4 linked regions of the Lepisosteus oculatus genome follow. The protein of the gene in region 3 purifies or fractionates together with the protein of the main gene of each other region. This does not show direct contact. Links are inferred from orthologs where the notes say so. Each region holds a gene or a part of one and is shown on either strand. Other genes may lie near its edges.

Region 1 (6,961 bases), on a different chromosome or scaffold from region 3:
TTTAGCTTTAAGGTTTAAACAATTCCACCAGTCGTTAACGTTTGAAGGCCTAAAGCACTCTGGTAACCTAAGTGCAGATCAGGGGTGTCAAACTCCATCCCTGAAGGAACTCTATATTCCAATCCAAGGAGTCAATTAAACAATTAACCTAATTATTTTCTTAGTTTGACAGAAACAGGCTGTTTCTTAACCTTTTTCACGGTTCATTACTTAAGTCATTACAGGTTCAATTACCTGTAGAACATCTTAGGTTTTCCAGTTACACAGATGTTAAATAATTGTCAGGTAGGTTACTGAGAGCTCAGGTGGACCAGACACCAGACATGGTGGGAAAAGGACTGAATTGAGTCCCTTGCTCTACAGACGCCAAAGTGTTGTTTTGTCAGATAAACAAAGTGTTGGATGAATAACATGTTTATGCGTTTACGTGGGAAGTGTCCACGTGAATACAGAAAAATCACAGAACATTTAAAACAACAAGTCACCTGTGTCGTGTGGTCCACGTGTTTCTACTGATTGCTTCACTTCAGATGATATTTCACCCAACACGTGCGTCCTGTTTTCAGTTCCATAACAACACGATAAAAGAAAAAGTTCCAATTAACAATCAATTATGACCGCATGTAACACACTGGATTTGGAAGCGCTAGAAAAAGCCCTCTGAAACTACATAAGTAGGACAAATGTTAGCCATGAGAGATACGGCAGTGGATATCTGGAGGCTTACCCAGACACTTCCAGGTGTTCTGCTCATTAAATCGTGTTGTAACATTGCGCTTTAAATTTGTCAATAAAAACAGATTTCGGAACTCGTGGTTCCTGTGTATTCTGCTCTTCTGGAGACACCCACTGCCTCCCTGGGCTCATCCGGGGCGTGCATAGCGCCGAGGACCCACTGCTCGCCTCATGACGTGCCATCCACGGAGGAGCGCATGTTTATGGGACGCCCTGTCGTTTCCAGAAACCTCCGCCATCCCACGAGTCTCGCCGGACCCGCAAAGCTTCAAAGTGCGTCGCTCGGCTGGAATCCTAGGTCCCGTGTTTTGGTGTCTTCCTATCTAATCGCAGTATAGTTAAAATGGCTGAAACGTTGAAGGGGGGGTCCCAGTTACCTGATCCCATCACAGCCCGTGAGAGGTGGGATGCTGACCTCCATGTCCCTGCACACTCCTGCTCCACGCCTCCCCAATCTGGCCTACCCGGCGCTCCTTCTTAATTTCACCTGGTGAAGCTCTGTCTCACCGCGGCACGCAGCCTGCCGTGTAGTGAGTGGGCCTGCTGCCCGTTATTAGCTGGGCTCTGCGTGGTGGGTCCACTCCCATATCTTTTCATTTGGGGATTAAAGGGGCTATATGAATACCAGGAATTATAATTAACAATAACCGTATACCTTTTTGTTATGAATATTGTTTGTGCAAGCATGCTCAAACACGATGTGCATGCTCCAAATGCAGCTCATGGACAGCAAATGATTACATTCTTGTGTGCAGAAAACAAAAGACCACTTACCATAATCATTTCTGATTACGTGCACAGAGAGAGACTGTATTTTAAACCTGTGTACTGGGCTATAAATATATATTCAGAAGCAATGCAGACCATTGTATATTAATGTAACCAGAATGCAGGTTTAAGAAATGACAGTTGTAACTTATACATCAGCACCACAAGACGATAACTACAGTCCTCAGAGGACAAGCGGTAGAAAAATATTATGACAAAATAATCACCATTTCTTGTTATTACAAAGCGATTTGTGCAAGTCACCACTGTCATGCTGAAGAACTGAACATCTTCCCCAAGCAGACTGTGCGAAGAGCTTTACTTCTGTGCTTAAATCGCAGAAATAAGGGAGAGTAGTAAAAACAGTTATGAAAATAACAAAAGCTACTGTATTTTTTTTACTCATGAAGAAATTTACTTCTTCAAACTCGGAATCGTAAAACCACTGGATAACAAAATATAAAGCAGTAATTCACTGCCAACTGAAGATAAGTACAATTTATGTACATCAGACTAATGCTATATATTTATTGAGTAAATTTAGTAAAAAATAATTATTTTTTTACGAATCCCTAACAGTTTGTGTTGACTGTGAGCTTGTTCGTTTTTTTAAACAACATTTATGATTCCATTAATTTAACCAATCTACGTGGTCATACACATATCTTCACGGCGGACAGAGCGACGTCTCCCAGTGTCAACCCACACCGGAGGCAACTCGGACACAATCCAAGGCGCTCCTCTCAGCAGCCGTGCGAGGGACTGCGCTCCCACTCGGCACAGCCGAAGACACGGGCCGTCCCCAACAAAACAAAACAAAACAAAACAAAAAGGCGTGTTTTCACAAGACTCGCACCTGCCTGGGTTCTAGGAACACCTTGTAATGCTTTACCGGAAAAAAATGACGATGCACCACAGTGTGAGTGTGGGAGCCGACGGAGGGAAAAAAGAAAAAGGTGAAAACAGGTTGTATGTTGTGCAAAGCGACGTCACTCGCCGCCGGTGTGAAGATGCCTGTTATACCACACGCACCCACAATAATGAGAGAGTCGCGTATTCGGTGAGGTGGCAGCAGCCTATAGACTGTCTTATAAGAACAGGGTGTGAGGAGTGGACAGGGGGACACTACACCCCCAATAAGACTCCAGACCACCGCAGGGCTCCAGACTTCGCTCGCGTTCGGTGTGGGTGCCCCTTCCGCCGAGAATGGCATCGATTCCGCTGTGAGACCATTGCGTCACCGACGCGTCACCAGCGTGTGCGGGTTCGAAACCAAGAGAAGAGTGACGTCAGCCCTGCCCCACGGGCGACCGGGTGTCGCGCGTCCCCCCGGCGAGACGCGGCCGTGATTCCCCATCCCCAACACAGCTGACTGGCGCACTGTATCGCCTCATGATGTTACACTGTGTTTTAAAACTGTATCCTGCATGCGATTGTGTTAGAGGACCGTCGGGGCTGGCGGGTTCAGTGACTGTATCTCATCGCCCGTCCTGCCGGGCAACACTGAAGAAACAGCTCTGATCGGGTCGCTCTCGGCTGCTTTCACACTTTCCACCTCGGTGCGAGGTGACATTGTGACACAGCTGACTTGTTTTTTTAAAAACAGTGCTCTTCAAACGGAAAGCCGCATAAATGAAACCACGGATTTCCACTGCTACGTCTCGTAAAACGAATGAAAGGGCTTTAAGTTGCGCTAGCTGGGGTGTTTTTTGTTGTTGCTGTAGTTGGCGATCCGCTGCCCTGTTCCTGGGGCGCCTGTGCCGTCCGATGGTTTCCTGTCGACCACGACACGCACGCTGGGGGTCGGACCGGGGGCCGGCAAGGACACCCCGTAAAAAAACACAACCCCCTACCAGCGCATCGCCGTGACCCCCCCATGCTTTATTTATTTAAAAAAAAAAACTGGAAACAAAATGAGATCTGAAGTGTTCTCTTGTTTTCCACGGGTGCACCCGTGGGTCGGGTCTGCTCGGTCACTGGAGGACAAAGGTCCCCGGAGTGCACACCGAGGCGGGTCTCCCCTCGCCCTGCGGTTCGGCTGGGAACCCTCCGTGACCCACACCTCACTCACCCTCACCCACTCCCACACCCACTCGCATTCCAGCCTCATGAATAGGTACCTCGCCGCCACCGCACCTCCCGTATCCCTGCGCACTCTCTAACCCCTCACCCCCCTCCTCCCGCCGCGAGGGCACAGTGAAACAGAACAAAAAACAACAACGGCGAAACCCAACACAACACGAACGACCCGAAGCGCGCAGACGTTAAAGCCGCGACAGGACAGCGGGTCGGGCCCGTTTTGTGTTGTTCGGCTTGTGTTGTTGTGGTTGGCGTTGCTCTTTTTTTTTTTCCAAGGGGGGGGGCCGGGAGGCGGAGCGCGGATGGAGGGCTCTACTTTCCGCGGCAGGATACAGCGGCCCCGGGAGGCGTTATAAGAGCCCGTCTCCGCCGGCCGCCATTTTGAGTCTCTCTGTCCGCTTCCTGTGGCGGAGCTGCTGTTGGGCTGCGGCGGTGGACGAGCGCCTTTTCGGCTTCGATTTCTTCGCTTTCCCTACCCCTCCGTCCTCGCCGAAGGTGGTTTATTGCTGCTTCTCCTCGCCCTTTCCAGCGCCTCGCACGACGAGCCGAGCCGGGCCGGTCCGCGCCGGGGACGGAGAGAGGCGGTGTGCCGCGGTAGGTGAGCCCCGGGCCGGCCGGCAGGCAGGCAGGCTGGGCGCCCGGCGGGGTGGCCCGGCTCTCTCTCTCGGGCTGTCTCTCCCCACTCGGGACCTGCAGTGGGCTGCGTGTGCGTGTCGGGGGTCCGGGGCTGTCGGGCTGCTCTCTCCCGGTGCCACCGCCGGGAGAGTTGGAGTCCGGACGGGCCGTGAGGTGTGGTGATCGTGGGTCCCGTGTGTGTGTGTGCATGTGGACGGGGAGGAGGAGTGGGGGGGTGCGTGGGGCTTGGAAATCTCGAGTTTATCCCACCCTCGAGGAACTGCTCGAGCTCGCGTGGGGTGGTGGTGGGGTTGCGCTCGCGTGCGGTTCATCGTGTTTTTTTTTTCTTTCCTCCTCCACCCCCCCCGGTTTGCGTGGCTCGGTAGCGAGTTGTTGTTTTTGCTTGATGGGGGGGGAGGCGGGCAGGCAGGAGGGCGTGAAGCTGCGGGCGTGGTGGCGCCTGAACTTCGTGCGCCGTGTTGTTGTTGCTGGTGGGAGTGGGGCGCTGAGAGGCTGAATGACCCCCCCGCCCCCGGGGGGCTGCTGGCCTGCCGGTCCCCTCGCCCCGCCGGCCGGACAGAGGCCGGAGCGGAAGGCGGGGAGGAGCCTGAGTGAAACCCGAGAGCCCGCACTGCGCGCCGGGCTGCGGGGCCGTGGGGCCCGTGGGGGTGGGGAGCCCCCCCCTCCCCACGCACGAAGACTGTAGCCGCGCTCCGGGAAATGCCCAGCGCTTTAACTTTGGGGTGGCGTTTTGTTTGAACGGGAAGGGAAGTTGGGTGGTCGACCCCTCCCCCCCCCCCCCGGGTGGGTGAGTGTGGAGCACAGAGCCGCGGTCGTGACCCGGACTCCCGTGGCTGCTTCCTGCTCGTTAGCCGTGAGAGTGGGCTGGGGGCACCTCTGTATTTGTCCAGCTGCGAGTAAGGTCCTGCGGGGGGTTCAACTGCCCCTGCTCTGAGTAAGGTCCTGCGGGGGGTTCAACTGCCCCGGCTCTGAGTAAGGTCCTGCGGGGGGTTCAACTGCCCCGGCTCTGAGTAAGGTCCTGCGGGGGGTTCAACTGCCCCGGCTCTGAGTAAGGTCCTGCGGGGGGGTTCAACTGCCCCGGCTCTGAGTAAGGTCCTGCGGGGGGTTCAACTGCCCCGGCTCTGAGTAAGGTCCTGCGGGGGGTTCAACTGCCCCGGCTCTGAGTAAGGTCCTGCGGGGGGTTCAACTGCCCCGGCTCTGAGTAAGGTCCTGCGGGGGGTTCAACTGCCCCGGCTCTGAGTAAGGTCCTGTGGGGGGTTCAACTGCCCCGGCTCTGAGTAAGGTCCTGCGGGGGGTTCAACTGCCCCGGCTCTGAGTAAGGTCCTGCGGGGGGGTTCAACTGCCCCGGCTCTGAGTAAGGTCCTGGAGGGGGGAACTGCAGATCAACAGGTGACTTCGGGGGAGCGCTTACAGCCCCGAGCCCCAGAGCAGTCAGGTGGAGCCGAGGTTCTGGTTCAGCCTGAGCCCTGGCTGTGTGGCTCTGTTGCGCGGAGGGCTGGGCTGTGTGCCGCTCAGGCTGGCTTGCGAGGAGCTGGAGCGAGGCAGTGCAGAGGCAGGCGAAGCTGGAGGCTTCGGGGTCGTGTTTCACTGCTCGGCGGTTTTGGGGGGAGGTGTGCTAGCAGCCTGCCTTTCCTTTGAAGATTTCTGCACCAAATGAGTTCCATATGTGTGAGGGAGGTGCAGGCGGCTGTCTGGAAGCTGGGGGCCGAGAGCCCAACAGCAGATCTTTTATTTCTTCACCACGAGCCCTTTCAGCTGCAGCGCGGAGAAGTGCCGAAGTGAGCAGAGCTCAGGCATTCCTCTCGGCCTGTGGAAAAAATGCGGTTGCGCTGGCCTGTGGGGAGGAGGGTGGGGTGGGATTTCATAGTGGACTGGTGGCACTGGTGTGCTTCAGGTTAGGCAGTGGCAGACTCAGGGGGTTGTGGGACTGAAACTTGGCGTGAGATGTTTGGTCATGTGTGCCCTACATAATACATACTCTGCTGCATAGGTGGGGTTGTGGCACGCTTACTTGTGAGCGCTTGGTGGTTTCTTTGTTTGCGTTATCTGAAAGGTCTATGCTAAACCTTGATTGAGATCAGTTAGGTGATTTGCTCTGGGTGGAAAATGCCAGAAATGGTATGTTCTCCATGGTGGAGGTTAAAGGGCTCAAAATGAGACAGAGACCTATCGGACTTGATGTTTTAAGACACCCCCAACACAGTCAGGTTTTTTACATTTATACACAATAAGATCTGTGTTGACTAACCTAGATTTGCCCCGACTGTTTTATGATTAATCTTGGCAAAACTAATCTCTCAAACATGTCCACAACCTGGAATGCTACAGCTACGAACAACAGCGCTTTAAAGGTGTTTTACTGTTGATCAAGTTGGGAACAGTCAGGATTTTCATAGAGAACTAATCAACTGTTTCTTCTTCCTGAGTACTGCAACTAAGTGTTATTGGTTGTAGGCTGTTTATTTTTTGTTAGCGGTAATTGGTGGGGGGTGGGGGTGTCTGTACAAGAGGTGTGGTGTAGGTAAATAAAGATTTCCTGCCTCCTGGTTCAAGAATGACTTGTGAATTAAGGGTTATTACCCCGATCCTCAATATGCTTGTGTGTAGAAGTGAATCAAATCTTTGTTTATAATCTTTATAACTGGATTTGATTAAAATAAAAGCAGATTAGAATAGTTTAGAAGTTTTTGGACATAGTCACATAAAACGTAGTTTTCCCTTTTGCTGTACTGTGTTTTGATTC
Region 2 (7,989 bases), on a different chromosome or scaffold from region 3:
CTCTTTTTCGGATTTGGCGTTCAAAACTTCCCCTCCCCTCCTCCTCCGGGCGTTTTTTGGGTTGTGTTGTGGTGTTGCTCCTTCACAGATTTCGGCTCCTAGCTGCTGCAGCAGTAGTAGTTGTAGTAGTAGTGACGGGAGGAGGAGGAGGGGAGGAGGAAGAGAAAGTCTCCGAGTCGCTGGGAGAGAGAAAGGCCCTCCGGATTAACTCATGTAGCTTCCTCGGCGCAGATCAAGATGTCCCGGGCAGGGTCCTCCAGGGCTCCGTCTGCGTTTTCTACCATCTCCGGAGGCCAAGGCGAGAGATAATCTGAATTATTTCCCTTTTTGTTGTTGTTGGTGGTGGTGGGTAGGTGGGTTTGGGGAGGGTGGAAAAAAATTAAATGAAGAAGGAGGGGAGAGAGAAAGAGAGAGACGAGGTTAAAAAAAAGTCGCACCCGAACGAGGGCCAGGAGGTAATTATTCTTCACAATACAAAACCCCCGACGCCATCCCCACCCCCCCGTCCTGGAAAGGTAATACTTGTGTTGGGTTTTTTAAAAAAAAATATATATATTTTCTTTCTTCGTAAAAGGGCGCACGCCGGGTTCGGGCTCGGTTCGGGACGGGCTGGCCCTACGGGCGCCCAGGTCGGTCACACCCCACCTCCCTCCCCTCGGACCCGCCTGTACCCCCCAACTCTCTCTAACACCCCCCTCACCTCACACGAACAGCTGAGACCGGCTCAGAGAAACGGGAGCAACTTCCGATCAATGCGCATGATCACACGCACATCTGCCGGCGGGTGTTAGAAATTGATTAAAAAAAATTAAATAAAGTCGATTTCTGTGAGGGTACGACAAACCGGGCGAACGACTTAATCGTCTCCCCGGCGTGTCGTATCGGCGCGAGTGGGATGCGATACCTTCCGAGGCGCCTCCCGATATCTGTGATCGATATGAAAAAGTTGTTGTTTTTTCGTGGAGCCGCGCTTCACGCCGTGTTTTTTTTCAAAGCGGGAATGAGGGCTTCTTTTAAAAATGTTTGGGAGACCTGGCCGGTGAGGATGATCGCCTCTATCGATTGCCAAACTCAATCAAAGCGCTTGATTGAGCTGCAAGGGCTGAAACTTTGGGTGGTGGTGGTGGTGGTGGGGGGTCAACTTTGGCAATGTTTTTTATTTTTTTAAAGTAAAAAAAAAAACCCGTTTGTATTTCTTGCAGCTTTTTTTTGGGGGGGATCGATCTGCAACGGAAGTTCACAACACCGGGCCGCTACGCTAGCACATGACCAGAGAGGAAAGGTTTGGCATGCCCGGTTTCAAAAACTGCAACTTGGTCAGGGCGCCCCTCTCTTTTATTAATTACCACAACAACAACAACAACAAAAAAAACCCACTTATTACAAAAAAAATAAGTGTTTGGTTTCACTCTAGTGATGTCAGCGGCGGGCTAATGTGACTTTGTTTCTCGCATTGTGACGGTCAGCAGTCTTTCAGGGGTGGAAAAAAAAACTAGTTGTCACAGTATCGATCACTTCGCGATCTTGCGCCCTCTCTCTGTGTAATATGTTGGAATTAAAAAACAAAAAACAAAACGGGGTTCAGATATGATTATTATGATGATTATTATTAGGTTTTTTTGAATGCCACCTTACAAGAAAGCGCAGGTTGACGCCGGGGAGAGTCTTGGTTATGACGGACGCAGATGCACAGGTATCCCTTGTTATCTCACGGCGTCTGGGCCACGCCAGGGCTCAAAACGGATTTTCAATCCACTGTTCTTCCTTGGTTCCCAACACAACTGTGGAAGAAGGAGCCGCCGTGCCGCTCCTGCCGGTGCGGGGTGGCCACGCTTGTCCCGGAGCCCAAAAACACGCACAAACTGCGCGCAGGACGGCCGCCACCGGATTCAACCCGCCCGGCAGACACCGGCACCGGGGTGGGGGGTCTCCGGCCGCACAGGAGGAGGAGGAGGAGGAGGAGGGAGGGATGGCCGGCGTGGTGCAAACGGGACAGGTCGCCTCTCGTCGGTCCTCTCCAACGGCGCGATGTGCTGGGTCCCGGCGATGGCGAGGAGTCGGTGCCCCCCCCCGGCGTGCTGGAGTCCGGACCGGGCGGATGGGAGATGGGGGTGTCGCTGCTATGATTCAGGGGGTGAACTGAGCGAGCGGCGGGGCTGGGGGCATTTAAAGAAACCCGGGAGTCTCCCCTCCACGCCAGCAGAAAGGAAAGCGCACGTCCCCCCCCCGGAGTCTTTTGTGTGGTGACCCTCAAACCCCCGTCTCTCGCCGCCTGCCTGCGGGGTCGATTATATCCGTCTGCTCCCCCCCTTTTTTCTTAAAAAAAAAAAGCAATCCTTCGTCTTCTCTCCGCTCTCTAACGGTTGGGGTTCCCGTTTCGCCGATATTTCCTCGTCTCCTCTCTCTCTCTCTCCCTCCGTGTGTACGTCTGCTCGTATGTCTCCCCCCGCTCGCTCGGTGGAGGAGGAGGAGGAGGAGGATGAATATTATTTTTAATAATAATTCTTCGTCTCCGGACGCGATGCGCTTGTATTTCTCCACCACCGCCGCCGCCACCAACCCCCCCCCCCACTTCCAAAAGAATTTTTTTTTCCCTCCCGTCGCCTTTTCAGCGTCCCTCCGTTTCTAAAACGCAGAAAATGCTCCCCAGCTTCCGCTTGTCCTCCGCTCCGCGTGAAAAGAGAAAAAAAAATCCCCCCTTCTTTCCTTCCTTGGACGTCTTAAAAGCGGATTTTCTCTCCCTTCTTCTTTTTTTCTCTCTCCTCTCTCTCTCTCTCGCTCCTCTTCCTTGTCCTCGTCCCCGACTCTCCGTTTCCGCGCTGTGCCCCCCGTCTCTCGCCGTCTTCTCCGGGTCCACGCTGCCGCTGTGTCGGCTCCGGGCTGGTCGGGCGGCCGCTCTCCGGGTCGCTGTGCTCGGCGCTGTGGTCGCTCCCTCTCTCGGGTCTCTCCAGCCGCGCTCGGTCTCTCCGCGCAAACAAAATGGCGGCTTGTTGTTTCTACTCCTCCGACACGGGAGCGGAGGGGGGGGGAGGGTAAGCTAGAGAGCAGAGCGGCGATGTATTCGAAAAAGAGGAGGAGGAGGCGGGGGGGTTGTGTTCGGGAATTTCCGGAAACCCCCCGGACTCGCTCTTTTCCGGAACGGCGCTAGCGGGTGACCGACGCCAGGGGGCGCTCGAAGATCACCGTCATCATCATAATTGCTTACACTTATGCAGCGCTTTTCTGGACACTCCACTCACGCTGTACGCTGTACAGGTCGTGGGGGATCCCCTCCACCACCACCACCCTCCATCCCCCACCTGGATGATGCTCCAGTCCGCTCCCCACACACCAGCTCCCAGTGGGGAGGAGAGCAGAGTGATGGAGCCAGTTCAAGAGAGGGGAGTTATTAGGAGGCCATGATGGGTAAAGGCCAGGGGGAGATTTGGCCAGGACACCGGGGTTACACCCCTAATCTTGTCGAGAAACAATGTGGGATTTCTAACGACCACAGAGAGTCAGGACCTCGGTTTTACGTCTCATCCTAAGGTCTCCCCTCCAGGTACTGGCCAGGCTCACGCCAGCTGGGAGCTCTGTCTGCTTATTCTCCCAAAATAATAACCCCCTCCCCAACACCAGTTACCCCCTCCTGCAGCCTTCCTTGGGTCCAAACTCTGGGGAGATCTGCACCTCACTGTCTCACCATCCCACCTGCAGTTGGTACAGGCGCGATGCACTTAGAAAAAGTTCATTTGAGGAGGGGACACATCGCTCAGCAGTGGACAGACGAGTGTGGGACCGACAGCTGTTGAACACTCAGTTCAACTGCTGCTGTGAAGGCAGGGAGCATGACAGAATCACTCCATGTCTCTGTGTGTGAGTGTTCAGGGTTCAGTAAAGTCCCTGTAATGTACTGGTGCGGTACCTGGAGAATCTGGGGAGACAGGAACTATAAAAAGAGGGGGGGGTAGGGGGTTCTATCAGGGGAGAAGGGAGGGGACCCACATAGCCCCGCCTGGGCAGGGTTGAGGGGGCGTCAGTCCGGTGAGCCAAGCCCAGTGGACAAGGTCAGCTGTCCTGTGAGAGAATGATTCCTCACACTTCTACAGCACCCTTCTGGACACCCCACTCACAGCGCTGGACAGGTCATGGGGATCCCCTCCACCACCACCAATGTGCAGCCCCACCTGGATGATGCTCCAGTCTGCTCCCCACACACCAGCTCCCAGTGGGGAGGAGAGCAGAGTGATGGAGCCAGTTCAGAGAGGGGGGGTTATTAGGAGGCCATGACTGGTAAAGGCCAGGGGGAGATTTGGCCAGGACACTGGGGTGACACCCCTACTCTTTTCCAATACACCCCGGGATTTTTAATGATCGGAGTCAGCACCTTGATTTTACACATCCCCCGAAGAACAGTGCCTTTTTACAGTACGGTATCTCTGTATTAGCTGGGTATTGGAACCCAATATCAAGGTCTTTGAAAGATCGTTTCTAAACACAGACACAGCCCTCGCAGCCCGCACCCCAGAACGCAGAGCTCCGAGCATCCCACACTTTATTATTCAGGGACAGGCACACAGACCCGGAGACAGGGAGACCAGGAGAAGCCGGATCACAAGAGTCCCGGCCTCTCGGACCGGCGCAGCCGAACCGGTAACACAGAGCGGTGAGCCTCAGTCCTCACGGGTCCCCCCCCGGGATCCGAGGAACACCCTGACGTCAGAACCCCTGGGATTCGAACCCACCACCTCCCGGGTACCAGCCCGGAGCCCCGCCTGGACCGGCGCCGCAGAACTCCCGGCTCGGCTGCCCTCTGCCCTCCCTCCCCGCCCAGGAGCGGGGCGCGGAACAGCCCCTCGGGCAGCGCGTGAGCGAGGGTCCCGCGGGGGGGGCGCCGTCGAAGCTTTCGCGAAAGAACCGTTTCGCTTCGGTTCGGGCCCCGAAGAAACCTGCACCCCCTCTTTCCAACCGGGTCCCCCACCCCCCCGGGCCCGTGTAATCAACGGGGTGGGGCTGCCGGGTCCTGAGGCGGTCAGCGCCACTGACCCGATCGTCTCTGAAACGGAAGATCCGTGCGGCGCCGTGTCCACCGTCCACGACTTGACCCAGGGGAGCATACCGCGCGGGGCCGAAGCGGGGCGCGTTTAAAAAGTCTGTGTTCCTCTACCAGCTGCTCTCCTTCACCCCATCCACCCCCCCCCTGCCCCGTTAGTCCCGGTCACTGTCGGCAGGCCCTCTCGATCTCCTCCATGGTTTTGGGGGTGTTGGCGGACAGGACCAGGGGACCCTCCTCCTCCTCCCTGATGAGCACGTCATCCTCGATCCTCACGCCCATCCCTCGGAATCGCTCCGGACAGCTGCTGTCATCCTCTGGGATGTACAGACCTGGGGGAGACAGAAAGGAGACTGAGACTGAGAGAGAGAGAGGGGTTCATACAGACACACTGACTGGACACTCCAGTACATGAACACTGCACTGAGAGAGAGAGGGGTTCATACAGACACACTGACTGGACACTCCAGTACATGAACACTGCACTGAGAGAGAGAGGGGTTCATACAGACACACTGACTGGACACTCCAGTACATGAACACTGCACTGAGAGAGAGAGGGGGGTTCATACAGACACACTGACTGGACACTCCAGTACATGAACACTGCACTGAGAGAGAGAGAGAGGGGTTCATACAGACACACTGACTGGACACTCCAGTACATGAACACTGCACTGAGAGAGAGAGGGGTTCATACAGACACACTGACTGGACACTCCAGTACATGAACACTGCACTGAGAGAGAGAGGGGTTCATACAGACACACTGACTGGACACTCCAGTACATGAACACTGCACTGAGAGAGAGAGGGGTTCACACAGACACACTGACTGGACACTCCAGCACATTAACACTGCACTGAGTCTCGTACCCAGTTCGATGGTGATGGCCATGCCAGGGCGGAGCGGTTGTGCCCGGGACAGGTCAGGCGTGTCGTGGACGTCCATGCCCAGGTAGTGCCCCACGTGGTGAGGGCAGTAGCGCCTGGCTGCCTGCAGGGGGCAGAAGAGAGAGAGAGCACGCCGCCGTGTCAGAGAGGCAGTGGGACACGGGCCGTCTCCCCCAGCGGAGGAGAGGACTACAAACCCGCTGTCCCGAGCTGGGCGCTGGCACAGAAACAGCTGCCCGCAACACACCTCCTCCGAGCAGCAAAACAGAAACTCGACACATCGGTAGCTGCCACAGTGAACATCCGAACATCAGGGGAGCAGAAATAAGACACAGCAGTAAGTGTTGTCCAGGGGCCTGCGTCTGGCTGCCTGTCCAGCTGGCATAGGGGCCAGACTGGCTGCCCAGACTCCCCTGGTTTGCTAGCCGTCTTGTGCATCGCGCTAAAAAGCTGACAAAGTAAATAATCATCTCTAGACACAAGGACGCTGTACGTGGTGTTGAAGACCAGATTAAACAAAAAGCACGATTAAAAGTAAACGGGGAAAAAAAAACGACACCGGAACACGCAGGGCAAGCCGACGAGGGCCCTGCTAGAAAGGGGAGTTTCGAGTGGAGATCTGAAGAGAGGCAGAGACTGTCTCTCGTGGGGTCGGGGGGGAGGGCTGTCCGTCCCGCTGGAGCAGCGACTGACCGGGCTCGGCCACCGCTAGGCCTGGGCGCAGCGAGGAGAGGGCCAGCCTCCGCTGCCCGGAGCCTACAGGAGCAGTTCAGACAAGCGACTCAGAGCCCCAGGGGTCAGGGACAGGACCTTGTCGCGCCTGCCGGGCTTTGACGACCCCAGTGCGGGGGGCGGGGGGAGGCGCTGGCCAGGCCTGGAGTGAGGAAGAAGTGGAGGTGCAGCTGACAGAGGAGGGTGCTGGGGAGCCCACACAGGGGAGAGCTGTGGAAATCGGCCTCATGTTCCAGTATAAATGCACCAATCAGGCACTGGGCATCGGACACGGAGAGAAACTGCCTGATGCCGGCAATATCTCTATAGGGTCCGAAAAAGACTTCTCAATCAAAGTCTTCTCAGGGCTCAAGAGACAGGGGGGGATCGAGTGAGACTCCCGACGACGGATGGGGGAGCAGTCAATATGCCACGGTCCAGCGGGGGGCGCTGTAGTCACCCGCTGTGTGTTACGGCGACGGTGCACTCTGACGCAGTGTCCAGAAAGGAGCCGACGCTTAACCGCGCAAGCGTGTCGGCGTGACAATCCCCACTGAAGTACCGCGGCCGGCCAGCGGGGGGCGCTGTAGTTACCCGGTGCGTGTCGGCGTCGCCGGCCCTGGAGCTGACGATACCCAGGTCCTTCAGCCTGGCGCCCAGCAGGCGCAGCATGTGGCTGTAGATGCTGTCCAGACTGACGCCCGGGGAGCACAGGGTCAGGCAGGCCCCCTGGATGTCCAGCACGGCCTGGTACAGCTCCGCCTGGGGCGGGGAGAACCTGCAGAGGGACAGGCAGCCTGAGCAGCGCGCGCAGCTGGCCAGCAGGGGGCGCCGGACACTCCCAGCTTGCTGCCCCGGGCTGGGTCGACTTGCACAGACGGGCACGGAGATCAACCCTTGGAGATCGGCGCCCGGACATATCGTCTCATGGCCTGCTCTGCGCAGGGGGGGTCAGAGCTGTCAGTCTGCCTGCCTGCGAAGACGCCCCCCCACCCTCTCCTGGGGACCTTCTGTTTCGGCCTGAATAATGAAGAGGCACCCCCAAGTGCTCAAGGTGCACCCCCCCACCGGCACGTTAATTCATTTCTCACGAGACGGCCCTTACCTGCCGTTCACCGGCCAGGTGCGGGTGACGTCGCTGACATAGCCAAAATACTCACACCCCCCGTCCAGCAGGACCATCTCCCCGTCCTGAGAGAGGAGAGGGAGAGAGTGTGTGTCACCCAGTGACTGTCCGCAGGTCTGCACCGAGTGTGTCAGTCAGTCTGCGCAGCCTGTGTAGAGTGTGTGTGTGTGTCAGTCAGTCTGCGCAGCCTGTGTAGAGTGTGTGTCAGTCAGTCTGCGCAGCCTGT
Region 3 (7,071 bases):
CTGTCTGGAGTCCCAACCCAACTCAAACAGGAACAACAGCTCTGGAACTCACTTGTCATCCTTCTCCCCATCATTGCACACATCCACAATCTGCAGGATGTTGTGGTTGGCACTCAGCTGCAGTGCCCCCACATTGATCTGGACATACTCCTTCAGAAAGTCCTCCGCCAGTTGCCGAACCTCCTTCGGCCAGGTAGCGCTCCACATCAGGGTTTGCCTGTCCGGCTGGAAGGGGGGAAATAAAAAGTCAATTTGTCTCCAGCATTAACCCAGCAAGACCTTGAAGCTTCGGGAGTGGGAAGACCTACCCTGATCTGATCTACGATCTTCCTGATCTGCGGCTCAAAGCCCATGTCAAGCATTCTGTCGGCCTCGTCAAGTACCAGGTAAGTGCATCGGCGGAGATTCGTCTTTCCGACTTCCAGGAAGTCGATGAGCCTTCCAGGTGTGGCAATGCAGATCTCGACGCCTACAAGAGGTGGAGAAGAGCTCTTTATCTGCTCCCAGAAGGGTGAAAACCACAGCAACGGACCCGAGCAAGACAAGTATGGACATACCTCTCTCCAAGTCACGGATCTGAGGTCCTTTAGGGGCGCCCCCATAGATGCACGTGGACTTCAGTCTGGAGGCTCTACCGTATTCAGCAGCAACCTGCTGGACTTGCTGAGCCAGCTCTCTGGTTGGAGCCAGTACCAGGCACTGTAAGAAGGGGGTTAGAATATATTAGAATATAGGATGGAATTTATTTAGGTTGGCGAAACATTAACACTTTAAAAAAAAAAAATCGCTGTGTAAACTGAAACACTTACAATGGGACCATCTCCATGTTCAAGGAATGGTTGGTGGTTGATGTGTACAATTGCTGGCAACAAATACTGCAACAAAAGAATTTGAACATTATGGAACATGGCATTTAATAAACATGTTAAGTTAATTGAATTCAGTTAACTTAAGGACTATTACAATCAAAGAAAAAGACTACATTATATTGACTCATGTGGATGGGCAGGAGTCAGATCGACAATGGGCTGCACGGTGTTCCAAATGGGGGCAGTGAGCAAGTGACCAACCTTTACAGGATTACCATAATCTCCAACACGAGAAGCACATTCCTAGGATTCTGCCACCACCTTCCACACCTAGACTTGACATCAGTTAAAACCCTTCCTATAAGGCGTCACGATTGACCTTACCGAGAGCGTTTTCCCAGATCCAGTCTGTGCAATCCCAACCATATCCTTCCCACTCAACGCCACCGGCCAGCCTTGTGCTTGAATGGGGGTAGGTTCGGTAAAATTCTGTTTGGTGATCACGTCCATTACATAGGCTGGAAAAGGAAGACCGATTTAGACTTGAACGAGGACTTCAAAGCACCTTCAAGTGCACTTAAACCTTTGAAGCACAAAAACAGGAAGCGTGCTCCGTTTGCATCCTGGCTCAGACTTACATGGGAAGCTTGCTTCATGGAACTTCATTATGGGGTTTGGACAATCCCTGCACTTCACGGTGACTTCCTTGCTCCTCCTGTACTGCTCCACTTCTTGCTGCAGTAAGAAAATAAGCCCATTGAGGAAAAAAAAAACTGACCACCCTCCAGAGCTACAGCGTCACACAGCCGCCCAGTCCAGCGGCCCTCGTCCGGCACGTTCTCATTTACGCAAGTCTTCCAGCTGGACAGTTACAGGAGCGAAACACCCCGGGGGGGATAACGGAGACTGAACCTGCAGGTGAGTCTTCACACCTACTTTCTCCCTTCAAGGAATCCCTAACTGCTTCATCACCAAGTCCTAAATCATTTTTAACCGGGGGGGGGGTATCAAGAGATAAAACAGCAACGGTCTCAGGACCCGCATCGCAACCCCTGGAGGCTGCCGCACCCGTGCGGGCGACTCACCGCGGTCCTGCGGGTCACGTCGGCGTGCTCCTTGTAGAAGTTCTTCTCGAACTTGGGCAGCTCGTCCAGGTTCCAGTGCTTCTTCCGCAGCCGCTCGCCGGGGTTCCCGAACTTCTTTCCCGGGGGGGCCCCGCCTCGGCTGCCCCCGAACCGCGGCGCGCCGCCAAAACTGAAACGACGGCAAAACGGGAAGCTCAACAGACGGAAAGACGTTTTTATGTAAAAAAAAAAACACAACGAAAACGGCAGAAGCTCTCTCCGAGATGGCGGCGAGAAATGCGTCTCGCTTGGGTAAAACAACGGGGCCACGTAAGCGCCATCATTACAGTGCCATGGGGGTGGGGGATTCGTCTTTAAAAGATTAAAGATGAGATTCCGGCAACCTGCACTGAAAAGATTCGGCTCCGCGACGTCCCTGTGCGAATCGCACCCACGCCTGCCCCCCTTTTTAAGATTTGTTTCTGCGTCACATTTTAAGCCGCTGCCATTTTGCTTCTGACCAGCAGAGGAACAAAGACGCCGGCCGGCCGGCATTTTGTCTCCACATCTTTGAACCCGTCGTCACATGGCGAGCACACCGGGGAGGGGGGAAAAAAATGGAGGAATGTTTTTTTTCCTCCCACACCCGCATTTCGGACCCAAGCCCCGAAATCCACGTCACTCGTTCACAGTCAAACTACAACACTAACAGTTTTAAACTAACGAGACGTTTCAGACACACACGCACACAGATTAGTCGATCGTCGTTCCCCGGGAAAAACGACCTATTATTTCTAAAAAAAAAAAACCCCGACTACTAGCCACACTAACTCACAAGCAGAATAATCGGCGCAAAATACACAAACCCAAAACATACATCACGTTTTATTTCAAATCAAACTCGTGTCAGCCATTTTACATTCGTACCCCCCGACTTACCCTCTATCTCTCCCACGGTCTCTGTCAGAAAAACCAGGCATGATGCGGGAAAAAGAAAGCTTGGGATTTAAAAAATAGATATATATATTCTTGCGTTACAGCAGCGTTTAACTGGCTAATTTCTTAAATTTTCGACTTCCTAGGCGGGATCCTTCCTCTCAGTTGCCGGCAGTGGTAACGCTGAAAATGCCGGTTCCTCGCGCACAGAAGCCGGTTTATATAGCAACAGGAAACGGAGCCTCGCGAGACCGCAGCACACATGGCGTATCCCTCCGCCTGCAGCCGGTACTATGACCTCACGCTGCTCTGTTGCGCGCAATGGCGGCCGAGCTGGATGGGGTTGGAGAGCAAGCGTTTCTGTTGCATTACACAAACAAAAGTACTGTGGAAGTGGCAACTACAATGACCAATTTTCTGTTTTGCTCCATAAAATGCTATATAACGTAGGTGGCTTAGGATCTTTTTTTTTTGGGGGGGGGGGTTGTTTGGTTATTTTAAACGCGTTCTTTGTTATTAGAAGTTAATCGTCGTCGTCACTTTAGTAGTTGGTCTGAGTCCAAAAACAAAACAAAAAAATACGACAGGAGTGCGTCGGTGCGTCGTGTTAACCGCCTTTAGAGGGTCTTTCACTATTGTTGCTCGGTGTGTGGGGACGTGGGGCACATTCGCAATCGTGGTCACAAACGAGACGAGGTCATTCAGGCCAGAAAGCCCGTTTGGTGGGTGGCAGTGAATTGATCCGGGCGCCCCATCCGCCCGTTCCTGAAAGAAGCCGGGGTGTCGGCTTTGACAACGTGGTTGAGTAGATTGTTCCACGCCCTCACGCCTATTTGTGTAAAGCAGCGCCAAATGTTGGCGTTTCTAACCACCCACACACCCCACCCCGCCCAGGAAATTTACACTTTTTTAAAAGGTTTTTATTATTTTTCAAATGCAAAAAGGGGAAGGAAATACAACAACCAGGGGTATATACATAAACAGGAAGAGGTGTTAGTGGGGCCAGCAGGGGGCGCTCACCCTGCAGTCCATGTGGGTCCTAATGCCCCAGTATAGTGACGGGGACACTGTACTGTAAACAGGCGCCGTCCTTCAGATGAGACGTAAAACCGAGGTCCTGACTCTCTGTGATCATTAAAAATCCCAGGGTGTTTCTCTTAAGGAGTAGGGGTGTTACCCCAGCGTCCTGGCCAAATTTCCCCCTGATCTTTACCAGTCATGGCCTCCTAATAACCCCCCTCTCTGAACTGGCTTCATCACTCTGCTCTCCTCCCCACTGAGAGCTGGTGTGTGGGGAGCAGACTGGAGCATCATCCAGGTGGGGGTGGAGGGGATCCCCATTACCTGTAAAGAAAAGCGCTATATACGTGTAAGCAATTATTATTATTACATACAAATGTCACAACATGATAGAACAACGGTAACATCAGGTGAGTGAAACAAAAAACAAATTCTCCACAGTACCGAGGTTCAGTGGTGTTAGGGGTTACATTAAATTTATATGCCAGAAGATTTTTGTAGACCAACTCGTCAAGGTTATTTTTAAAATATTTTTTGTGAATTTGAGTATAGCTTAGGTGAGTTAAAGCACATTGTAGTTTTTTTTTAATTCTACACGTAATATTTTGCTAACATCAGAATGACGTTTACCATTATACGAACTTCCTTGGATTTGGATTTGGAACACCAAGAACAATATCCTTAAAAGTTACAAGTAACATGTTTATTCCCTGCTGAACAGAGAAGAAAGAAAACTCAACGTTTCGGCCGTGGATACTTTTTCACACCTGAAGAAGGCTCCACGGCCGAAACGTTGTGTTTTCTTTCTTCTCTGTTCAGCAGGGAATAAACCTGTTACTTGTTCCTTTGCAGCCTGCGCAGGCTGACGCAGCTACCCACCTGAACTCCTCAAAAGTCCACGAATACTGCTATTATTTTGGCCAAGAACATACCAAGTGCCAGGAGGTTGTCGAACCGTGACGGGAGAAGAAAATGTTCTTTCAATATCTGTTTCAGAAAAGGTACAGGTGTTGCAATAATTTCCACTTGTGTCCTCCCCCTAGTCGTATCTCAAACAAGGCATTTTGTTAAACAGCACCTGTCCCGGGCACGGGCAATACAACCCACCACCGTTTCCTTTATTGAAATACAAAAACAGTCTCCGGTTCTCAATAGTCTATCGCCTAGTCCAAGTACACGACCACACCGAGAGTCTGAATCGCAATTTGCGCGATGTATTTACAGGGTAAGACCCAGCCTCCGTCACCAGCGTGTCCAGTGAGTCTCTGTAAATAACAGCCCTGTCTAATCCGTCTCCAAGGAAGTGTGCAGTTGGGTCATTTCCTGGACTTTTTATTTTACGTGTTTTGCCACGTAAAATTCATTTTGGTAGCAGCACTTGGAATCAACCATCCCGTTTTTACAAAAAGTACACCAACGGGACGGAATCTGTAACCGCACCTATATAAAAAAAACAGTTTGTTTTAGTGAAAGGGTCTATTTCTAAGCTCGGAGGCATCGCCAGCAGGACAGCACAGCACAGCACAGCACAGCAACCGGCTGTGCCTTCCTTTGCCGGGAAATGACGTCAACCCAAACGTCATGGGGGCGTCACCTTTAACGGGCGAAAACAAGAAATGCGCAGTGTGAAATAAACTGAAAAAAAAATCGGCATTTTTACAAACAAGATCGCGAGAAGAGGACACTTAAATGGAAAAAAAATGAAAAAATGCTCTTGACGCCTTCTTGGTTTTCCGTTGGCTTTACGTCATATCCGGGATCGGGGCGCTGTTCTCGGCAGCCAATGGGAAGACTCCCGTGTTTTAAATGTCCGAGGCTGGTTCAGACCGTGAAGCTGAGCTACAGAGCTGTGCGTTATCTTCAGATCCACCACCTCATCTGCACTTCTCGTTTTTGTTGGTTTTGGACACATAACGATTTGCTTTGGGAACATACCATTCATGGGAACGCAAGAGGAAAAAGGTCAGTGGAAAGGAACCCCTCCTCTGTCAGATTAACCCACAGGGCGCTCTTGAGACCCTGTCCTGCGTTTCTTTTTAAATAAAACCCCAGACGAAATCGTTTATCTTCACCGGTCTTGCCCAGCTGTTCCGTGTTCCGTCTGTGCTTCAAAGATGTGGTTGTAAAGGCTGTCAGATCGCGGACAGGTTATATCACGACGAGGGACGGGCTAGCACAAAGATTTTTATCTGTCTTCTGTCCTGGTCTGCTGCTGCTGCGGCTGTATTCAATACAGCTGCTGCATCTGCTTAATAATTTAAAGCGCCGTTTGGATAAGATAAATATCCCTCTATACCCAGGGTTGAATGGGACAAGGGCCTTTCGAGAAAATGTCACCTTTTGTTCGGCTACTTTTCTGGGTGCCCGCTTTGGGTTGAATGAAATTACAAATCAGCACGGAGTGTTTTGATAGATCAGGTAGATCGCAAAAACAAGAAGCCCAACAGAACAGGGGGTATGTTGTGGTTGTGGTTCTGTTTTTGCTGTGTAGTTTTATTGATTTTATTTATTTTTTTAATCACTTCGCTGCTAGAAGCCGTTCCCTTTCTTTTATAGATGTTTGCTCTTCATAGTGCAGGCGTACTGTATCGTCGGCTGCCAGTGGCACTGTTTCGCTTCGGGAGAAGAGTACAGTGCGCTGTAAATTAATTAACGGTTAGTAGCTGACAGTACTCGGGGCTGTACAACAGTAAGAGTCCCTGTACACAAAGCGTTGACCCTTCGGCACGTATAAGGAGTTTTTGAAGTGGGAATCGTGTTTTAACTGCGGGATAATAGCGGCGGTTTTTACTGTTGGCGCCGGTCCCTGCTGTTGCAGCGGCAACAGTTACTAACTTGGCCGATGAGCAACAAAGATTTAGTGACGCTTATAGACCGGCTTGTGTTCACCCCTTTCTCGCCAAAACGCTTTTTCTACATTTGATTTGTGCCACAGCCCCCTTTCCGGGGTCCTGCACAGTTTTGTTTGGGATGGTAAATTTATTTTTCCAGACCCTGGAGCGCAGCTTGTGTGTCTGTAGCGATGGCAAACCGAGCTACCAGTAGCTAGGACGCCACTGTCAGTTTCTTGACCATTAATCAATCCGCCAGTCGAGATGGTTTTGGTGCCGCGCTGTTTGCCATCTACTAGTATTACTACTACTAGTAACCCGGCAGCTTGTTTCTTCCCACAAGCTGTCTGATCACTGAACTCTACCCCTACCACTGGCTCACACAGATGTTTTTTTTTAATTGTATGTTGT
Region 4 (7,917 bases), on a different chromosome or scaffold from region 3:
CAACATTGACTATAAAAGAATGCGACGCATACATTTCGGGAGGTTAATAGTTAAACAGATCATGCCTTAATAGCTCACACTGTCATCCTATAAATAGTACAGATAACTCTGAATACCCAGAATGATAAACATCTACTAACATTTCAGACGTGTTCGTCAAAGACAAATGGACGTCCACGCACATGTGGTCATATCAGTCACTCAGGTTATAATATATAAACAGTATTGCAATTAATAGTATAATAGTCCCCAATTTCCATTTTTTATTTTTACATCTTAACTACAACCAATGTACTGTACAGTACATTTTGTAAACCACTGATTATTTTTAATTCTGAGAATATTAATAGCATCTAGCAAAACAAGTCTTGCAGCCTCACCAATACTTGAAGCAGCAAGATCTTGTTTAAAAACAATTATTTGGTTAATAACTGAGCTGGATGCCTTCTTTCTTTATATTATCGTCCCTGAACATTCTCCGTTATTGGACAGCAAAACCAATTTAACAGATGAATCTACAGAAATACTATCTGCTAAATATCTATCAAAAACAATCAACCAGAGAACCAGACAGGAGAAACAGTTGTTTCAACTGTCGTTTTCTTCACGTTAATGATACCATAAACGTGATATGTCCAGGTAAAATGACAGCCAGTGATGTATTTAAAAATCTATATTCTATATGGTTTAGCTGCTTTACATAATTACTTTATAATTATAAATTAGGTATGATTTGTGATATAAAGACAAAAATGGTAAGCTAACCAAAAATAAGTAATTAACTCAGTAAGGTCTTTTTTAATTAGTATTGTATTCCTAGTCAGGCGCTAGAAAAAAACAACATCTGTAAAACAGATTTAACAGATTCTTACATAAGTTTTGCAATTAATCTACAGTGAAGTGTTTGATTAGACAAGATCTCAAACTGTCTGAAAAGTTGCAATGCTCACATCTTTGCATTTGTTTGCTGAATTCAGACATGTTTTCTGTTCTGATTGATCTGAGGAACTTGATGTAATCATCACTGTGGTACTTTGTCATTTCTTCAGCTGTGGCCTTATGAGGTCTCTGCAGACACAAAAATGAACATAATCCAATCAACAGAGTTAAACACAAGACAGAAACAAGAAATAAATATCCCAATGGCATTTTAGTATCATACATACAGGAACAATATAACTATGTATATAATAAATATATTAAAATGCCAATATTTAAATCTACATTATAATGTATTTACAACTGATCAAATAGTACTAATGCTCCCTTATTTATTTATTCTATTGCTTACTTTCATAAAGAATTTTGCTATCCTAAGAAAAAAGAGTCCAGATATATTACACTATGAACCTACACACTGAGCGGAATAAGAGCATTTTCACATACTGCTTCCGTGGCTAAAGTACATCAGTCCTCTGCTTTAGTGTCTGCATGATAACTAATCATAGAGGTATTTCTCTGTTTAGCAGGTGCCCTGTTCTAAGGTGAATTTTCATTGTAATACAAAGTTTAAATGACCTGTAAGTAGGAAGGAAACAACAGGTACAACAACATGCAAATTGAATAAAATGCACACTGTAGATAAGTGAAATGGCAATAATGCTGACTTGTGAAGCGATGCTTGGCAAACACTTAAAGACAGCAATGCAACAGACACATGTTCAGCGGAAGTGTAATCTGTCATTACACTTCAAGACTTACATAGATTTCCATTTTCCTGTAAAGCCCATAGTTTAAAAGCAAGTTGTGGGTCATGCGAATTCTGTGAGGTTTCATGGGATGCCCCTGTCCATAATAATAGTTTCCAATGTCACCTGAATAATAAAAAGTAAAGGTTAACAGACAAAACTGGGCATGACTTATTCAAATTCTTCGTATTGAAAGAAATACAAAACTCTTTTATTAATAAACCATTCAGTGCCATTTATTTCTAAGATGTTAAGGGACACCTTTTCCTGCTGTGGACTTAAGTCCACATTTACATTTTGGCAAACAAATCTTCACTTAAGAGACGCAATAATTACAAATTAAACGATGAAGATTGTTTTGTTGTTGTTGTTTTTTTGCGTCGGGCTCATTTCCATAACGCGAGGAGGCCACATGTCCTGGCGTCAACGTACTTTAGAGAAGCACAATCCGCTTGCAGTTTAATCACACGTAGGCAGGTATTAAAGAAAGCAAATATACGCGGGATAGTGTAACCGTTTTGGTGCTGGTGAGTAGCGATAGCTACATTTTCCGTGGCGTCTATAAAGAAAACGGGCGATACCTACTAAATCTGTAAAGAAAACAGCGCTAATGGCTCTGACGACGGAAGGAGACGGTTTTGTTTTGGATGAAGGCGGACATGCGCAGTGTATGGTTTTGTTTTGTTCCCGTCGCCACTAGGCCTTGGCGGCAATGAACAACTTCTGAGTATTTAATTTGATTCAGCACTGCAGTCGGGACACCTCGCTAACCTAACCCCCCCCCCTCCAAAAAAACAAACAACAACTTTTAAAACAGAAATTATAAACGCACAACTGCTGCGCAGTGGCCATCGTGCGTGATGTTTCTGTGTATTATTACGGCTGAGGTACGCGAAATGTTCGCATCGACTCTCGGGGGTTCAACGTAAAATCAGTTTCAAACGCGTTGTAACTTTCAATTATGCGGTTACAGTCGATGTAAAAAGAAATATCAGCTGCGAGACACGATTTTACATTTTGCGTTACATTTAGACACACTAAACCCGGCCACCCGTCTCTTGTCCCTCTCGTCTTCACTCGGCCCCTCTCTCATTGTGAGCGTCACCCCCGTCGTCTATTGTATAAATAATAACTGCAAAGCAGGAACAGGACTGCAGGGTCTCGTACCGTCATAATAGTAGCAGACTTTCTTCTTTAAACCGCCTTGGAGGGTATATGCCATGATTACTCTCTGATCGAAAGGTGATGTCGGGTCGACGGAAGCTGGTTATATTTTCGGCGGAGAGATAAGGAAAGACGGGGAGCGGGGCGGTACACTGACGAGAAAGAGGTGGGCCGTGTGGTGGTGGGGGTGTCTTATATCCAGCGCCGAGCATCGGACTGAATAAAGAAGACGGAAATATTCCAGCTGTCCATCAACACACTCTGTAACACCGACGGGCCTTAGTGCGTCAATCATTGAAGTAAAACAATATATTATTTATTGGTATCTCGCTGATCATTTGTAGATGGTGAAGCCACTTCTGATCCAGGGTTGTGTGAGGCTACTAACACGAACAGAAATAATTTTAGATACCAGTTATGCCGTCGTCAGCAGGACAAAGCACTATATCCAATATATGAATAAATGTGATCTATACCGGTCATGTTTTTGAAGTACTGTACTAACAGAAATAAAGTATCCGTCTGTACCAAAAAAAAAAGTAAAATGTAAAGAGTTAGCTTCTTGAATGGCAATTTAAGTGTCTTCTATAAAAATGTTATAAAAAGTGTTTGATGATTCTAATACAACTGGGATAGCTGTTGTTAAAATGATGAGAGCAATATTCAAGGGTCAGGCCTTTGTTACTTAGCAGTGCAGTAATAAAGATGTGTGAAAGTGCAAAGCCAAGTTAACACAGCGCATCCGATCTGAATTCTGATATCTTTTTTTTTTTACTGTTCTCATTGTATTTAGTAGTGAAATCATCTGGGAATCGGAAACCAATCAGTGAGAGTGAAGCGATTTGCCTATAATCTTATGGTATTTATCTTTTGATTTATAGCTAAAATCAACACAGATGGTTTCTTCGAAAGGAATAGTAAAACGGATCAGATGACACAAGATGAAACTGTGGTGAAGTGCCTTCAAAACCTAAAACAGAAATCATTCCTTTGGAGTCTGGAACAGGCTACCAAACCATGTTGTTGAAGCTGATACTCTGGTTTCTTGCAAGAAACTTTTGGATGAGACCTCTGGAGCAATTAGTTACCAACAACCTAACAGGCTAGACGGACCAGACAGCCTCCTCTTGCTATAACCTTTCACATGTTCTTCTGTTCAATTGATTGGGGTTTTATAGGAAACCCTTCAATCACTGATGTCTAAAAGCTTGGCACAATGACTTGTGATCAACTGTAATTACTTCTTTGTTACGTGAAATAATTTATAGATCAGTAGGAACTTACATTTTCAGTCCTCAAGGACAGGTGTTCCCTCAGCTTCACAAATTACTCATTTCATTGCTTAATATGTCTGGTCTATGCCAAAAATGCTTTAGAGAATTTTTTAAAAATACAGGACTGGGGCTTTCCAGGGTTAGGGTTCAGGTTTCCTGACATAATCTATAAAATACTGTGTATGAGTACCTAGTACTGTACAAATGCAAGTGCTTCAAACTTGAGTATTCCTTGGATAAATGATACCAAGTTTCTAAATGTCTCCCCTTACCAGGGATACCTCTTGATTCCAGAGCTGTCTGTTCATGTAGTTTCACAGTTCTCTATAGAACTTGTCAGACTCTAGACAGGGAATGGAAAAGTCAGTCAGGGCTCCCTGGAAGGAGCTTCAGTAGGTTTTGCTTTACTATTAAAATGGGTACTGATTGGCTGCCAGTTGTTCAAAAGCTTTAGTTCTTTTTCTTTCCCTGAGAAAATGGAATCGATCAATGACTCTTCATACTTTAAGCCTGTAGGCCCGTGCATGTTTCCTGTTAATCTGAGACCTCCACACGGATGCCCTGGTATGGTGCACCAGATAACAAAAGTCGTTGCATTAGGTCTATTAATTCACTAATCCATTATTGATTCCCACAGTGAAATAAAAATGAGAAACCTTCATTCTGAAATATCAGTCCTGGTGTAGAGAGGAGCTATGAGCCTAGTGTGCCTGAATGGAATATAAATGCTGAGAAACTCATTTCAAATGGTGCAGGATAGCTTTCTCAAAAAGCACATGATCCAACAAAGGGGCTCATAAGAAATATAGTTAGGGTTAAATTATTGAACCTGCCTCTAGGACTTTGTGTATTAATCTCAACATACAGCTAACCTTCATTGTGATCATTTATGTCATAATGAAAAATACAGAACTGCTTTACTGATTAAACATCTTTTAAAGCATGAAGGAAAGCTGGAAAAATAATACTTTTCAATTTCTGTGAGAGCTGCAGGTTCTGTATATGGGAACACAGAGTCATTACGTATTGTACTGTATAATGGTTTTCTAGACATCAGTTTGTAGTTGGAGGCTGCACTTTATCTGCGCTGTGTGATAGTCATTAGACTCATTTTTCCTCTTTTCAGTAAAAACACTTTAATAAAATTTTTCCCTGTCCCTCTGGGTAACTGCCTCAGTAAGATACTTTGTCCTATGACTAAATACTAAGCCCAATACGTAGCAGGACTAAAATATCAATGTAAACTTCAGAATATCATTGACTAATTATAACTTGGCACCCATGGGTCTCTTATTTTTAAGTTAGATTTACATCAGGCCATGCGATACCAGAATATACAGTAAATTATTCTGCTTCTTTCTGTGATGGAAGCTGACATAATTCAAAGAAAAAGAGACCTTCAGAAAAACATACAATTACTTTGTTGACATTTTTCCTGTGAATTTTCAGTGAAACATTACAACCTTCCCTACATTTGTACTTTAGTAAGTAGCAAAAAATAGAAAGGAATAGAATGTTATCCTTGAACTGTATCCAATTTAGTATAAGACATGCAAACCAAAAAACATAACCTTCATTGTTCCCTATTTGACGTTCAACTGCTTTTTACCAACTTGTTAATCTTATCATTTTGTGTCATCTTGTTAATCTTAATATGACAAGTTTCATGCATATACTGGTATATCATTAACCAGTCTGGATATAACTACATTCTTGGATGGGAAATTCAGTTCTCTATAGAAATATTACTGTGTCTATAAGAAGCAGAAACATCATGAAAATTAAATTAATTCTGTACCATGCAAACTACAAAGGAAGAAAGAGAGATTGATTCCATTCAAAAGAAAGAAACTAAGAAAATATTTGCTTTATACTTTTCAGCAAAGAGCTAACCAATACTTGTTATATTTTGCTTTCTAATTTCTGCACAAACACTAATCTAATTGGATTACACATCAGCATACAGTGCTTGGCACAGTTTTCAGATTTTGTTGCTTTAAAGCCTAAAAGTAACAATTAATATTTGTTATATACACGACCTACTCCACACATTCTAAGCAAAAACAAATAAGTAACTTTATAATTAATATGAATGAAAAATGGAAAGGTGATGATAGCATAAGATTCAAACCCTTTCCTGTGCAAATGGAAATGAATTTACATGCACAGTATTACTGTACCTGCGCGAGCCACCTACAGTAATTAATGGTTTCAGAAAACGTGCATTTGGCCACGTAGTGAATTTCAGGCAAAGACTCAACCATGAAAACTAAAGCACTTTCAAATCAAGTCACAGGTTAAGTCTTTGAAAAGCACAGATATGGAAAAGGGACCACAAAAGGTTGAAGTCTTTGAATACCTGCATGAACACAGTATAATATGGGGAGAGTTCTTTTTCAATGGTATTTGCTATTAAAACCTATAAATTTATATTCCTAAAAGAGCAACATGCTTATTGCATATGCAGTTTAGCAGTTTCTAGGAAATCACATTATATTAAATTGATTGAATTTAAGTTTCTTGCATATTTTATTTTTCCTGCAAAATCTGGATTTTACATGAAGACATCCATCCATTTGATCCAATTGAAGGTCACTGGGGTGTCAGAGCCTATCCCAGGAAGCAAACCTGGATGACATGCCAGTCCATTACAGTGCAGACAGACACAAACACAGACACACCACACCAGTTCGTTTAGATAGGGTATGTCTTCGGATTGTGGGAAGAAACTGAAGTGAGCAGTGAAAACCCATGCAAATTCAGGGAATTACATACAAACTCCATGCCGACAGCACCTCAGCTCTGGAATTGAACCCAACACTGCGAAGAACAACGTTAACCACCGTGTCACTAACTGCCCAATTTAGCCTTTGTCATAATGACAAAAAAGTGGCAGCACACATTTTTCTTTTGAGTAAAAATAGTATCAGTTCATTGTTTTTACAACGTTTTCAAACTCCAGGACAGAAAAAAAAATGAGCCAACTTAAATTTAGGTCACACAAACATAAATTATTCAGCAGTAATGGAAGTGTCAGGTGTCATTAAAACTTTACTTTGTTATTTTTTTCCTGTGATTTTTATAATATAAAGTTATAATATACATGTGTATAAAATGATTTATAAAAAAACTAGGTAAACTTCTTATGGGCCCATCCACAATTTCAACAAGAAAACCAATAATCAAACTCTTAAGAAATTATGCAATTTGTGCAATTTAAGCAATCCAAGCAATCTTTTAAATGACAGTAATAGAAGGTTTTTAGATATTTCCTGACACATAAACTGCTGATTAATAGATTTTGATCTTTGGGGAAGGCAAACCTGAAACATTCTTGTCACTAACATCATACATGCAATTATGAACTTGTGTCAGTGCCTGCCATCCTGAAATTTCTAGATGATTAATATTTATCAACAGGAGGCCCATAATAGAGAACCTTTGTGAATTGCCATGGATAGCTTGAGATAAAATCCAGTATGAGAAGAGTTATTAATCCTGCTGTAACACATTTAATTTGCATTTTTTCATTTTCCAATTACCGCACAATGTAACTTCAAAACACCAGGTGTAATGTCATTCATCGACAGCTAACCTTATGCATAGCTATCCTCATGGTGCTCTCTGCACCACCCAGATTACTGCCGAAAAAACAGATATGGTGGAAAACCACACAACTTTTTAAGAGGAAAGAACATAATGTCCTGCAAAATCATATATTAACACAATAATTCAGCTAAAAATATCAATGAGGGTGCTGGACTACATTGACTGCGTTACATGCAATGATT

What was found.
Region 1: the proteins of ddx5 (region 3) and ctnnb1 purify together in Homo sapiens (affinity purification with mass spectrometry; 3 studies listed by BioGRID, with this or other methods). This does not show direct contact. The link is inferred for Lepisosteus oculatus from reciprocal best matches to the Homo sapiens genes DDX5 and CTNNB1.
Region 2: the proteins of ddx5 (region 3) and ep300a purify together in Homo sapiens (affinity purification with western blotting; 5 studies listed by BioGRID and IntAct, with this or other methods). This does not show direct contact. The link is inferred for Lepisosteus oculatus from reciprocal best matches to the Homo sapiens genes DDX5 and EP300.
Region 4: the proteins of ddx5 (region 3) and histone deacetylase 2 purify together in Homo sapiens (affinity purification with western blotting; 3 studies listed by BioGRID, with this or other methods). This does not show direct contact. The link is inferred for Lepisosteus oculatus from reciprocal best matches to the Homo sapiens genes DDX5 and HDAC2.

What each region holds. Positions count from the first base shown.
Region 1 is NC_090705.1:42,391,110-42,398,070, forward strand, and holds the start of ctnnb1 (catenin beta-1), read left to right. Parts: upstream 1-3,942; 5' UTR 3,943-4,077; exon of another isoform or gene 4,078-4,180; intron 4,181-6,961. UniProt on the Homo sapiens protein: Key downstream component of the canonical Wnt signaling pathway.
Region 2 is NC_090707.1:38,059,148-38,067,136, forward strand, and holds the start of ep300a (histone acetyltransferase p300), read right to left. Parts: upstream 3,010-7,989; 5' UTR 1,636-3,009; intron 324-1,635; 5' UTR 1-323. Other genes in the region: xpnpep3 (xaa-Pro aminopeptidase 3), read right to left, coding at 5,198-5,364, 5,909-6,029, 7,232-7,415, 7,743-7,828. UniProt on the Homo sapiens protein: Functions as a histone acetyltransferase and regulates transcription via chromatin remodeling. Acetylates all four core histones in nucleosomes. Histone acetylation gives an epigenetic tag for transcriptional activation.
Region 3 is NC_090704.1:45,522,335-45,529,405, forward strand, and holds the start of ddx5 (probable ATP-dependent RNA helicase DDX5), read right to left. Parts: upstream 3,014-7,071; 5' UTR 2,854-3,013; coding exon 2,813-2,853; intron 2,064-2,812; coding exon 1,895-2,063; intron 1,545-1,894; coding exon 1,448-1,544; intron 1,328-1,447; coding exon 1,194-1,327; intron 876-1,193; coding exon 810-875; intron 700-809; coding exon 558-699; intron 470-557; coding exon 309-469; intron 226-308; coding exon 53-225; intron 1-52. Other genes in the region: centrosomal protein of 95 kDa, read left to right, coding at 5,770-5,791. UniProt on the Homo sapiens protein: Involved in the alternative regulation of pre-mRNA splicing; its RNA helicase activity is necessary for increasing tau exon 10 inclusion and occurs in a RBM4-dependent manner. Binds to the tau pre-mRNA in the stem-loop region downstream of exon 10.
Region 4 is NC_090697.1:5,943,677-5,951,593, forward strand, and holds the start of histone deacetylase 2, read right to left. Parts: upstream 3,019-7,917; 5' UTR 2,911-3,018; coding exon 2,856-2,910; intron 1,815-2,855; coding exon 1,702-1,814; intron 1,069-1,701; coding exon 951-1,068; intron 10-950; coding exon 1-9. UniProt on the Homo sapiens protein: Histone deacetylase that catalyzes the deacetylation of lysine residues on the N-terminal part of the core histones (H2A, H2B, H3 and H4).